Linked DNA regions of Mus musculus. The protein of the gene in region 1 purifies or fractionates together with the protein of each later gene. This does not show direct contact. Links are inferred from orthologs where the notes say so. Each region holds a gene or a part of one and is shown in the gene's direction. Other genes may lie near its edges.

Region 1 (4,485 bases):
ATTTGTTCACTTCGCTTTCCATTCATCTTTTAAGTTTCTACAACTTGTCAGAGCATCCTGTTAGATGCCAGAAACAGGATGAGGAAATCAGAATAGATAACAAGGTGGCTGGGGAGATGGCTCCGTGATTAAAGTGCTTGCCATGCCGAGAGAGAGAGAGAGAGAGAGAGAGAGAGAGAGAGAGAGAGAGAGAGAGAGAGAGAGAGTTAATATCTCTGGGTTTCGATTGAGAGACCATGCTTCACTGTATAAGGTAGAAAAGCAGCGTTGTAGGATTTCTGACACCAATCTCCGGCCTCCACGTGCACCTGCACCGCCCCCCAACATGTACATCCACTCGTGCAAACAAAACAAAACAAAACAAAACACCAAACCACAGATACAAATGCACACACACAGAGACTCAGACAGACAGACAGACAGACAGACACACACACACACACACACACACAATAGGAGAAGAAAAAAAAATAGGTCAACAATAAAACCCCTGCTTTCTTGCAAAAAACTATGAAGTAGACTGAATGCCGAGTGCTCGCTGTTATAAGAGAGGTTCAAGGGCTGGAAGAGCTTGTGCAAGAGCCAGGGTTGAGCACGGTCCAGAGGAGCGCCAGGCTCAGCCTCTCTCCAGCATCTCTTCACAGGAAAGCCGGAGGCCCTCTTCACGTTCAAGAAGCCCAGGGGAAATCAATTATCCGAGTCTCCCTTGAGTACTCGAGCGCTCTTCGGTGTGACAGGTGTTTCCTGGTGTGCTAGAAATGCAAGCCAAGTGGATTCAGGTCCTGAGTGGCCATGTAACCAGACCCAGTTGATCTGTGAAAAGCGGGGCATGTGGCTAAGGGGATGCAATTTCAAGTGGGCGTTACAGGTGACTCATCAGAGACCTATCGATGGTGTGTGTGTGTGTGTTGGGGGGGGGGGGGTTGTCTTATATCCTTTGTATTTTTGGATAACAGCCCTCCTGACCATTTCCAACTTTTCGGAGTTTCATAGCCCTCGTGCAGAGCGCGTTTTCATACCAGAATCTAGTCACGGATAGGGAATTTGGGGTATGAAGACAATTATTTTTAAAGTGGAGTCGAGACTAGGAGAGAGGCCCTTGCCGGGGAAATTTGCTCAATAAGAGCTTTTCCTACCTCACTCCTCAGAGTGACAGTTCGCCTCAGCCAGATGACTACATTTCCCAGCGGGCGCTGTGCATCTCAAGGCACAGGCTGGCGGGCTCGGGGCGCTCCTCCGCCCAGCTAGCCAATAGAAATGCTCGGCTTGGGCCTCTGTCCGACTAGGAGCACGCGGGAACGGGGGCCTTAAAACTACATTTCCCGACGCGCTGGTAATCGCGCACTGACCAATCAGAGCCAGGTATTTTGAGGCTCGGGGAGGAGCCGACTCGGTCAGCCACCCTCATTGGCTAGGCAACGCTTAGCAGAGCCGGAACCCGGGAGCGAGCGAAACGCAATGACATTTCCTCTTTAAATAACCGGAGCCGGGGCCCCTGTAGTAATGGCCGCGTCGGCAGGTGGGTGGCGTGGTGCGGCCGCCCGCAGTGTCGGAGGAGGGAAGCAGGAGCGCGGGCGCCGGCCACAACCTGAAGCGGCGGCCTTAAGGCGGGAGGGAAGGATGGAGAGACGGCGGGCGCGGAGGCGAGGATGAATGGGGAGGAGGGCGGTGGGCGGCGCGCCCGCGAAGATGGGGCGTCTGGGTACCGGCCGCCCGCGAGGCGGTTGAGGGGTGCCCTGGCAGTCGCCCTCGATCGCGCTGCCCTCGGGAGCCTTCCGTCCCGCGCTCGACCCGGAGCCGAGTCCCCGCGCATCGCCGCCGCTGCCGGCTCGGCTGGCTCGCCTCACACGCTCCCTCCGCGAGCGCGGCGGTCCGGGCTCGCCGGGCTCCGGAGGAGCGCGCCGGCCTGGGAACTTGTTCGCCCTTGTTGAGCTCTCGGCTCCTAGAGCCTGTGTCGGCGCTCCTGTGCCCACACACGGACGTTTGTGTACGGGGTGGGGGGGAAAAAAACCCACGATGCCGTAAACTGGCTTCGAACTTCTTGTGGTTGTGCGATTTTTCTCCTAGATTTAAGTAAGTCTTCCCCAACACCGAATGGGATTCCATCTTCAGACACAGCCAACGATACCATGGATCCTTTCCATGCTTGCAGTATTCTTAAGCAACTCAAAACAATGTACGATGAAGGACAGTTGACAGACATTGTAGTGGAAGTGGATCACGGGAAAACATTTTCCTGTCATAGAAACGTTCTTGCTGCAATCAGCCCCTACTTCAGGTATGACGACGGTAGAAACTTATATATTACTATCCGTACAAGACTCCCTTTCAACCCAGTGTTAGCCACTTGATTGTGGTACTGAGTTGGGACAAATACATAAAGGCAAACCAGGTGTTTATTTTCTGAGAGTAGGTAACAGGTCTTGCTTGTCTTACTAATGAGCCCCTGTTTTGAGGTGGGATTCCAGAGTTTAGATAGTTGGATTTTAAGTTAGTGGACTTGTGAGGTATTCATACTATGTATGCTGCCAGCCACATTTGAAAAAAATTATAATGCTTTAAAATTAAAATCAGTGGCGACACTAAAACATGTCACGTGCACAGACAACTAAGTGTGGCTGGTGGCTGCTGTACTGGGCAACGGGGATATACAGTGTTTCAATCAATCATTGAAATGATCTAGAATTTTAAATATTTCTGATGTTTCCCCACCCCCCACCCCCGGTTTTTAGTACATAGGACTTTTTTTTTTTTTTTTTTTTTTTGAGTTTAAAACATAGGAACTTGCTCCTTTATAAATAAACTAGGATTTTAAGATTGTTTTAATGCCATGGAGTTTTGTGAAGAGTAGTGAAATAAAATACAGGTTATTTATGTCTTACTTTCCAAGATTCCCAGAAATAGTTCATGCTTTCTAAACTCTCTTTTTGTCCCTTTTGCCATAAAATGTTGAAAAGTGAAAGTTTTATTTGAACTCAAGTCTGAAAACTAAGTTTTTAGTCTAAGAACAGATGATTGGAATCGGTTTTGTTTCAGGTACTTCCTTCTAAAAGCCCTTCAGCATACAGAAGTGGTTCGTGAATGATAGGAAGACTATCTTGTCAGCCACACTCTTGCTCTATCTTTTGAGGTGCTTATAAGGTGCTTATCCATCCCACTGTAATGTTGCATTCATTAGTTTCTGGTCCCTCTTTCTCAGAATGCTGGGTCAAATACAGTTACATCAGTTTTGATATTGAAAATCGTTTAGACTTGCCTGGGGTAGGTCATTGAACCAAGTATTAATTATTACAGGATAGAAAGCTGGAAAGAAAAAAGATGAAATGTCCAGAACACAGGTTGGCTTGGCATTAGAAGCCACTGCTGCTTGTCATGTGTGTATTTGAATATATGGCACGCTTGTTCCTTACCAAACTCTGAGTGAAGCTTACTTGATATGTATTGTCTTCAATAATCCTAATAATCTTGTGCTTATACAGTTATGCCCATATGTGTATGAAAAGATCCAGATGAGTGATATCTAAGTCATTCAAATGGCAGAACTAGATTTTATTCTAAAATTAGACTTCTTATTGTGTGACACTTAACAAAATGGATCAAGTGGGTCTCCATTCAAGTTTCTGTTTTTTTTTTTAATGAAACAAAACTATATTCCCTTTGAATAGTAAAAGTAAATAAATAAATACATTGAATGGATATGGGAGTGCATGCTTTTAATCCCAGCATGTGGGGAGCCAGAAGCAGGGGAATCTCTGAGTTTGAGGCCAGCCTAGTCCACATAGTTTCAGGACAATCAGTGCTGTATGAAAAGCCCTTGTCTCAGCATAGTAACAACAAAAGTTTCTTTAGAATGAAACCTTAAGGAAAGGTAATGATGTTTACAAGTAAGTCCTACTTAAAGCTCCAAGTATTCTATCTGTGTTGGGGAAAGAAGATTCAAAAATATACTCACTTAAAACAAGAACAAAAACCAAACTGTCTTAAAAGTGTATGCCTAGGCTACTCAGAATTTACTGTTGTTGAGGATGCCCCCGCACTTCAGCCTTCCACTAAGTGCGATCATACACCACTGCACCCATCTAAGAAGCTCAGTCTTAAGGTTGGACATTGGGGAATTTAAAAATAATTTCCAAAGAATCAGTGATGTGTTAAATGTTAAACTCTTTAGAAAAAAAAGCATATTAACCCTGCCATAACTTTTTGTGTAGATATAAATAGGTAAAGTACAGGAACTTAACTGAGAAAATGAGGTATATCTATTAAGGAAGGGTTTTCAAAGTGCCCAAGAGTAAGCAGTCTTTTAGAAGGTGTAGGTGAAAAGTGTAGCCCTTTGAAGAATGCCGTGCTCTTTCTGAGGGGAAATCTACTTTGTCCACACAATACAGCTTTCCTTGGGCCGTCACAGATTTTATTAGACTGACTTACTGTGCTTAGGACTCATTTTGCTATCTTAATGGTATCTTGAACTTTTTCTGAGACATGATA
Region 2 (4,577 bases), on another chromosome or scaffold:
TAAGATGGGTGGGTTCCTTGCCTGATATGCAAGGGACCATGAACATCCTGGCTTTATTATGAAAGCAAGGGGCGTCTCTCTTTTATCAATCTGTAAAAAGGAAGTTAGATGACTAGTGTGGCAAGCTATTTAACTCACTCCACCAACATTTGAGCTATAATGAGGGTGTCAACTTGCTGAAGCAGCGAGTGGCAAGTGACCAAGGGCGGCAGGTGACACAGGACCTGGTGGGCTCCTCCTGGAAATGTCTAGACTTTAGGCTCCGTTGGTATGCGGTTTGGGGAAGAGACTGTAAGGAGGAGGCGGCTGGGGGACAAGGAAGGAAGCCTCTACTGTAGTCTTGAGAGTTCAGTGATGGAGTATTGGGCCTGTTCAGGGCTTAGGAAGATGAGTTTGGGTGCCCCCCCCAAATGATAGGGTGCAGAAGAAAAGCCATCCTGTAAGTCACTCACTGGCCACCACACATTTGGCTTGGCATGTGTGGTACATGCACGTGAACACACTCAATAAATGGTATAAAGATTAAAATAGGAGTTGAAGAGATAGAAGCAATACTACTCTTGTAGAAAACTCAAGTCTGGACCCAGCACCCAGGTGGTGCAGTCCACAAACAGTTTATAACTTCCTTTTAGGGCATCCCATGTCTTCTTCTGACCTCCAGAGGCACCCACACACATGTGCATAACTCACACAAAGAAACACATATATACACATGCAAGAAATTAAATATGAGTCTTTTCTAGCAAATAGTATAAGATTAGTCTTTTGGACAGTAATTAAAATCATTATCTCTCCTACCTTATAGGACTTTTAAGGAGATGTTTTAATCCTCCTCACCCAGTAAAACTTTTGTTTATACAAAGCGCCCCCCCCCCCCCCGCTCCATTCTAGGAAATTGATCGCTTGGAGCAGTGACCCCTTTCCCCTTCAATTTCCTCTGCGCCAATTTTCTCAGACTAGCCAATTGAATAAGACTGCGAGGTCACCTGAGTTAGAATAGAAACCATATGCACTTCCTGTCTTCTCTTTGCTTTTCCGCAGCGCACTGTCTTGATGAAGAGTAAAGTTTGCCTTGTTCGGACATTTCATTTTGAAGGATGGTCTCTTTCTTTGCCACCCCGAAACTTATTCCTAACACACATGAATCAAAATAAAGTCTTTAAAAAAATGAGCTAAAAGTGACAACTGCTGGCATTTATTGTGCACTTGGGATCTATACACTTGCCCTACTCTTCCTCAAGTTTTACAGACATCCTAGTCCTGAGGGGTATTGTGTTCCCCCAAGGCCCAGGACACTGGGATTTGAAGTCAGGCTCTCCCTGTGTTTGCCTCCCGGGAAACGGGAGGGAGGATGCCTCTGTGCAGCTGGGCCGTGTGTGTCGAGGGTGGTGGTGGACGGTGACCATTGCATTCAAAGGGGTTGGAGGCGGGGGACAAGGCCTCTGAGGCTCGCGGTCGCTTAGGCCCGCTCAGAGTCCCCTACGCTACAAGGAGCGCTTGCCGCACCCCACAGCCAACAGGGACCCTATTTCCCCGCTGCAAGCCCCGGGGGCCGCCGGGAGCCCCGCCCCCGCCCCGCCTCCTCCCCAGGCGCGGACCTCGGCGCTCACGTGACCCACCCTGCAGCCGCTGGGGCCGGAGGGCGCAGCTCGGCGGAGGCCTGGCCAGGCCGGGCCGAGCGCAGCAGGCCGGAGCGCGCCGCGCGCCTGGGAGGGTCTGGGCGCCGCGCCTCCCGCCGCACCCGCCCGCGCGCTCGCAAGCCCTTCCTTGGCGCTGGGACCCCTGGCGGGCGGCCGGAGGACATGGCCGGCGACGCCGTACAGGTAGGCGACTTGTCCGCACCCGCGGGGCGGCCAGAAGGCGCGGAGGACCCCAGGCACGGGTAGAGTCCCGGACGAGGTCCCCATCGGGAGCCCGCGCGGGCCCTTGTAGCAGGTGGAGGCGCCGACCGGGTCGGAGGAAGGGGTGCTGTTCGGGATTCTACCCCAGCATCCCCTCCTTTGGCCCTCCCCGAGAGTCAGCGTGTGTAGCGGGGTCCCCACTTCGGTGTCCGAGGCTAGCTGCGGATCCCGGTGCCTGTCGTCCCCACATCCTACTCTGGGTCCTGCAGCGTTCGGTTTCTGTCAGGTGCCGCTTCACCTGGAGCAGGTGCCTGGCACCCTGCCCCGGACCGGAGGAGTGCCCGGCCCGATCCCCTCCCCCGCACAACAAAGCCCGGGCCACCCCCGCCTGCAGACGTCTTTACGATGGTCTTGACGCCACCCAGATGGGCACCTGTTGGAGGAAGTGTCTAAGTCACTTCACTAGGCCTGAGGCCGGGTTCCTCCTTCCGCCTTGTTCCCCATAACCACCCTTCAGGCTGACAGATGGAGCTGTAACCCAGGTGGGGCGTGTCCTGTCACACAGACAGGAAGGATTTTATGTCTGGAAGGTGACAGGGCTGGGTCTCTACTCCCTCGCAACAGACACCTGTGACTGGCATCTGCCAGCCACATGGCCTTCCCTGTGTGACCTGTTGGGCGTTACTGAAGCAGGGTCAGGGTCGGGGTGACTGACTCCCCACTCTAATTCAGTGGCCCAAAATCTGAGATCTTTGTATCTTTGTGGCTCCATTAATTCGTCACCATGCAGTCCATTGTCCTGTGTAACTGGTTCTCATCTCCTTCTACACCTGCCCCCATGTCTCCCCTGTACCCTTCTGTACCCGTCTTCCCCAGTCCTGCTGATGGCCTGCCGGCCTTGCCGAGGAGCTGGGCGTATCTGGTGCTGCCGATCTCACAAGGTCAGACCTCCAGGCTGATGCACCGGTGCCGGCTCCCCTTCAAGCCCACTGAGGGCTGTGCAGGGCTGTCCCAGTACATGCATGTGCTTGGTGTGTCCCGAGTAGGACGCACATGGAGGCTGTGATTCCCAGAATGAGGCTGGACCTACATCTTGGTCCCCGTCCCGTCTTCTCCCTTATGTTCATTCCCGCTTGGACTTGCTGCCTGGTTCCACCGTCTCCGTGCCTGTCTGTTCTGTGTCTGGCAAACGGATGTCCTGTCTAGATTCTGGAAACGCCCCAGGCATTGAAATCTCAGGAAGTGGGGTTTTGGGTTCCTAGCCACTTTGCCAAGAGGGTTTCCCCAAGGTGACAGTTCTTGGTCTGCTGTCTGCAGATCTGTAATGGCAGGTGGAGAAGCTGACCTTCTAATTCCTCAAGACCAGGCCAGGCGTTTGCCCTGCTGCCCTCAAGTGACTCCTTGTCCCTGGGCAGAAGTGAGTCACCGAGGAGGAGGACCCAGGAGGCCCTGCCTCCCTGCCTGCATGCTTTTCACATTCCCAGGCCTTCTCTGCTGGAGGTGGGGCCAAGGACCTTCACCTCTCCTCTTTGCTTGAGCTGGCCCTGCTCCTGGCTGTGTACCTGCTTTGCCTGCTGGGTTGGGGGCGCTGGTGGGCGACAGTGGGTGGGGCCTGGTCATGACAGAGTATTGTTCAGTGAGGCCAGGTTTAAATACCAATGCTGCCTTCCCTAATGAGTTCTTGGGTCAAACACTTTTACCTTACAGAGTCTTGTTTCTGTTTTGGAGGAGGCAATGGGGTTAGGAATGGTATGAGGGTCTGGTGGTGGTAGTGCACACCTTTGATTCCAGGACTTGGGAGGCAGAGGCAGGGGGATCTCTGAGTTTGAGGTCAGACTGGTCTATAGAGTTCTAGGACAGCCAGGGCAACTCAGAAAAACCCTGGGTGGGGGTGGGGAGGTGGGGGGAGTGAGGGTGAGATGATGGCTATGCAGAGAGAGGTGGAGCCTCAGCCAGTTCTGTGCTTCTCTGACACCTTTACTTTGAACATAGAGCTTGACAGTCTAGGCTGGGAACCCACACCCCTTCCCAAGGCCCCAGCAATGGCCTTGTGTGGGGGTCATTGTGTAGTGGGGCTGTCCTGTGTACCTCGGAATGTTGACATGGATAGGTGTCCCCTGTATACTTTGGTTGTAATGACAACAAGAATGACCCCAGACATTGACATGCGTTTCTCAAGGCGATGAGAAGACGACCCTACCTTCACTGAGAGCACAGCTATGGCCTCTTTGAGCATCGGTTTCCCCCTATGGTGACTACTGCTCAGATACACAGTGAGGAGATGACAGGGTCACAGGATCTGTGCTCTTGGCCTGCAGCCTCATCCGAAGGGCTTAAGAGCCTAGGAGAACATTGCTCATTGTGATGGTGATGGCTCACTACTTCTAGGTGTGCTGGACGTGGGATTCTTCCCAGCTAATGTGAATCTTGGCTCTGTCTCTTGCTGCCTGTGGGACCTGGAGCAGGGGGCCTCAGCTAGTTTGTCCATCCGTCTGTCCTTCCTTCCTTCCTCTCTCTCTCTCTCTCTCTCTCTCTCTCTCTCCCTCTCTCCCTCTCTCTCTTTCTCTCTTATCTGTCTTATCATCTCTAGCATCTACATCTTGCTGTGCTAGGTGCAAAGGTGCCTGTTACAATCCTATCTCTGGCAAGTAGGAAGCAGGAGGATCAGGAGTTCAAGGCCAGCCTTCACTATGTATTAAATTCAGAGCCATATGGGTTATATGAGACAGAGCCACA

Evidence for each region.
Region 2: the proteins of Kbtbd8 (region 1) and Pkn1 purify together in Homo sapiens (affinity purification with western blotting; 3 studies listed by BioGRID and IntAct, with this or other methods). This does not show direct contact. The link is inferred for Mus musculus from reciprocal best matches to the Homo sapiens genes KBTBD8 and PKN1.

What each region holds. Positions count from the first base shown.
Region 1 is NC_000072.6:95,116,456-95,120,940, forward strand, and holds the start of Kbtbd8 (kelch repeat and BTB domain-containing protein 8), read left to right. Parts: upstream 1-1,424; 5' UTR 1,425-1,503; coding exon 1,504-1,519; intron 1,520-2,067; coding exon 2,068-2,278; intron 2,279-4,485. UniProt on the Homo sapiens protein: Substrate-specific adapter of a BCR (BTB-CUL3-RBX1) E3 ubiquitin ligase complex that acts as a regulator of neural crest specification.
Region 2 is NC_000074.6:83,696,213-83,700,789, reverse strand, and holds the start of Pkn1 (serine/threonine-protein kinase N1), read left to right. Parts: upstream 1-1,610; 5' UTR 1,611-1,802; coding exon 1,803-1,823; intron 1,824-4,577. UniProt on the Homo sapiens protein: PKC-related serine/threonine-protein kinase involved in various processes such as regulation of the intermediate filaments of the actin cytoskeleton, cell migration, tumor cell invasion and transcription regulation.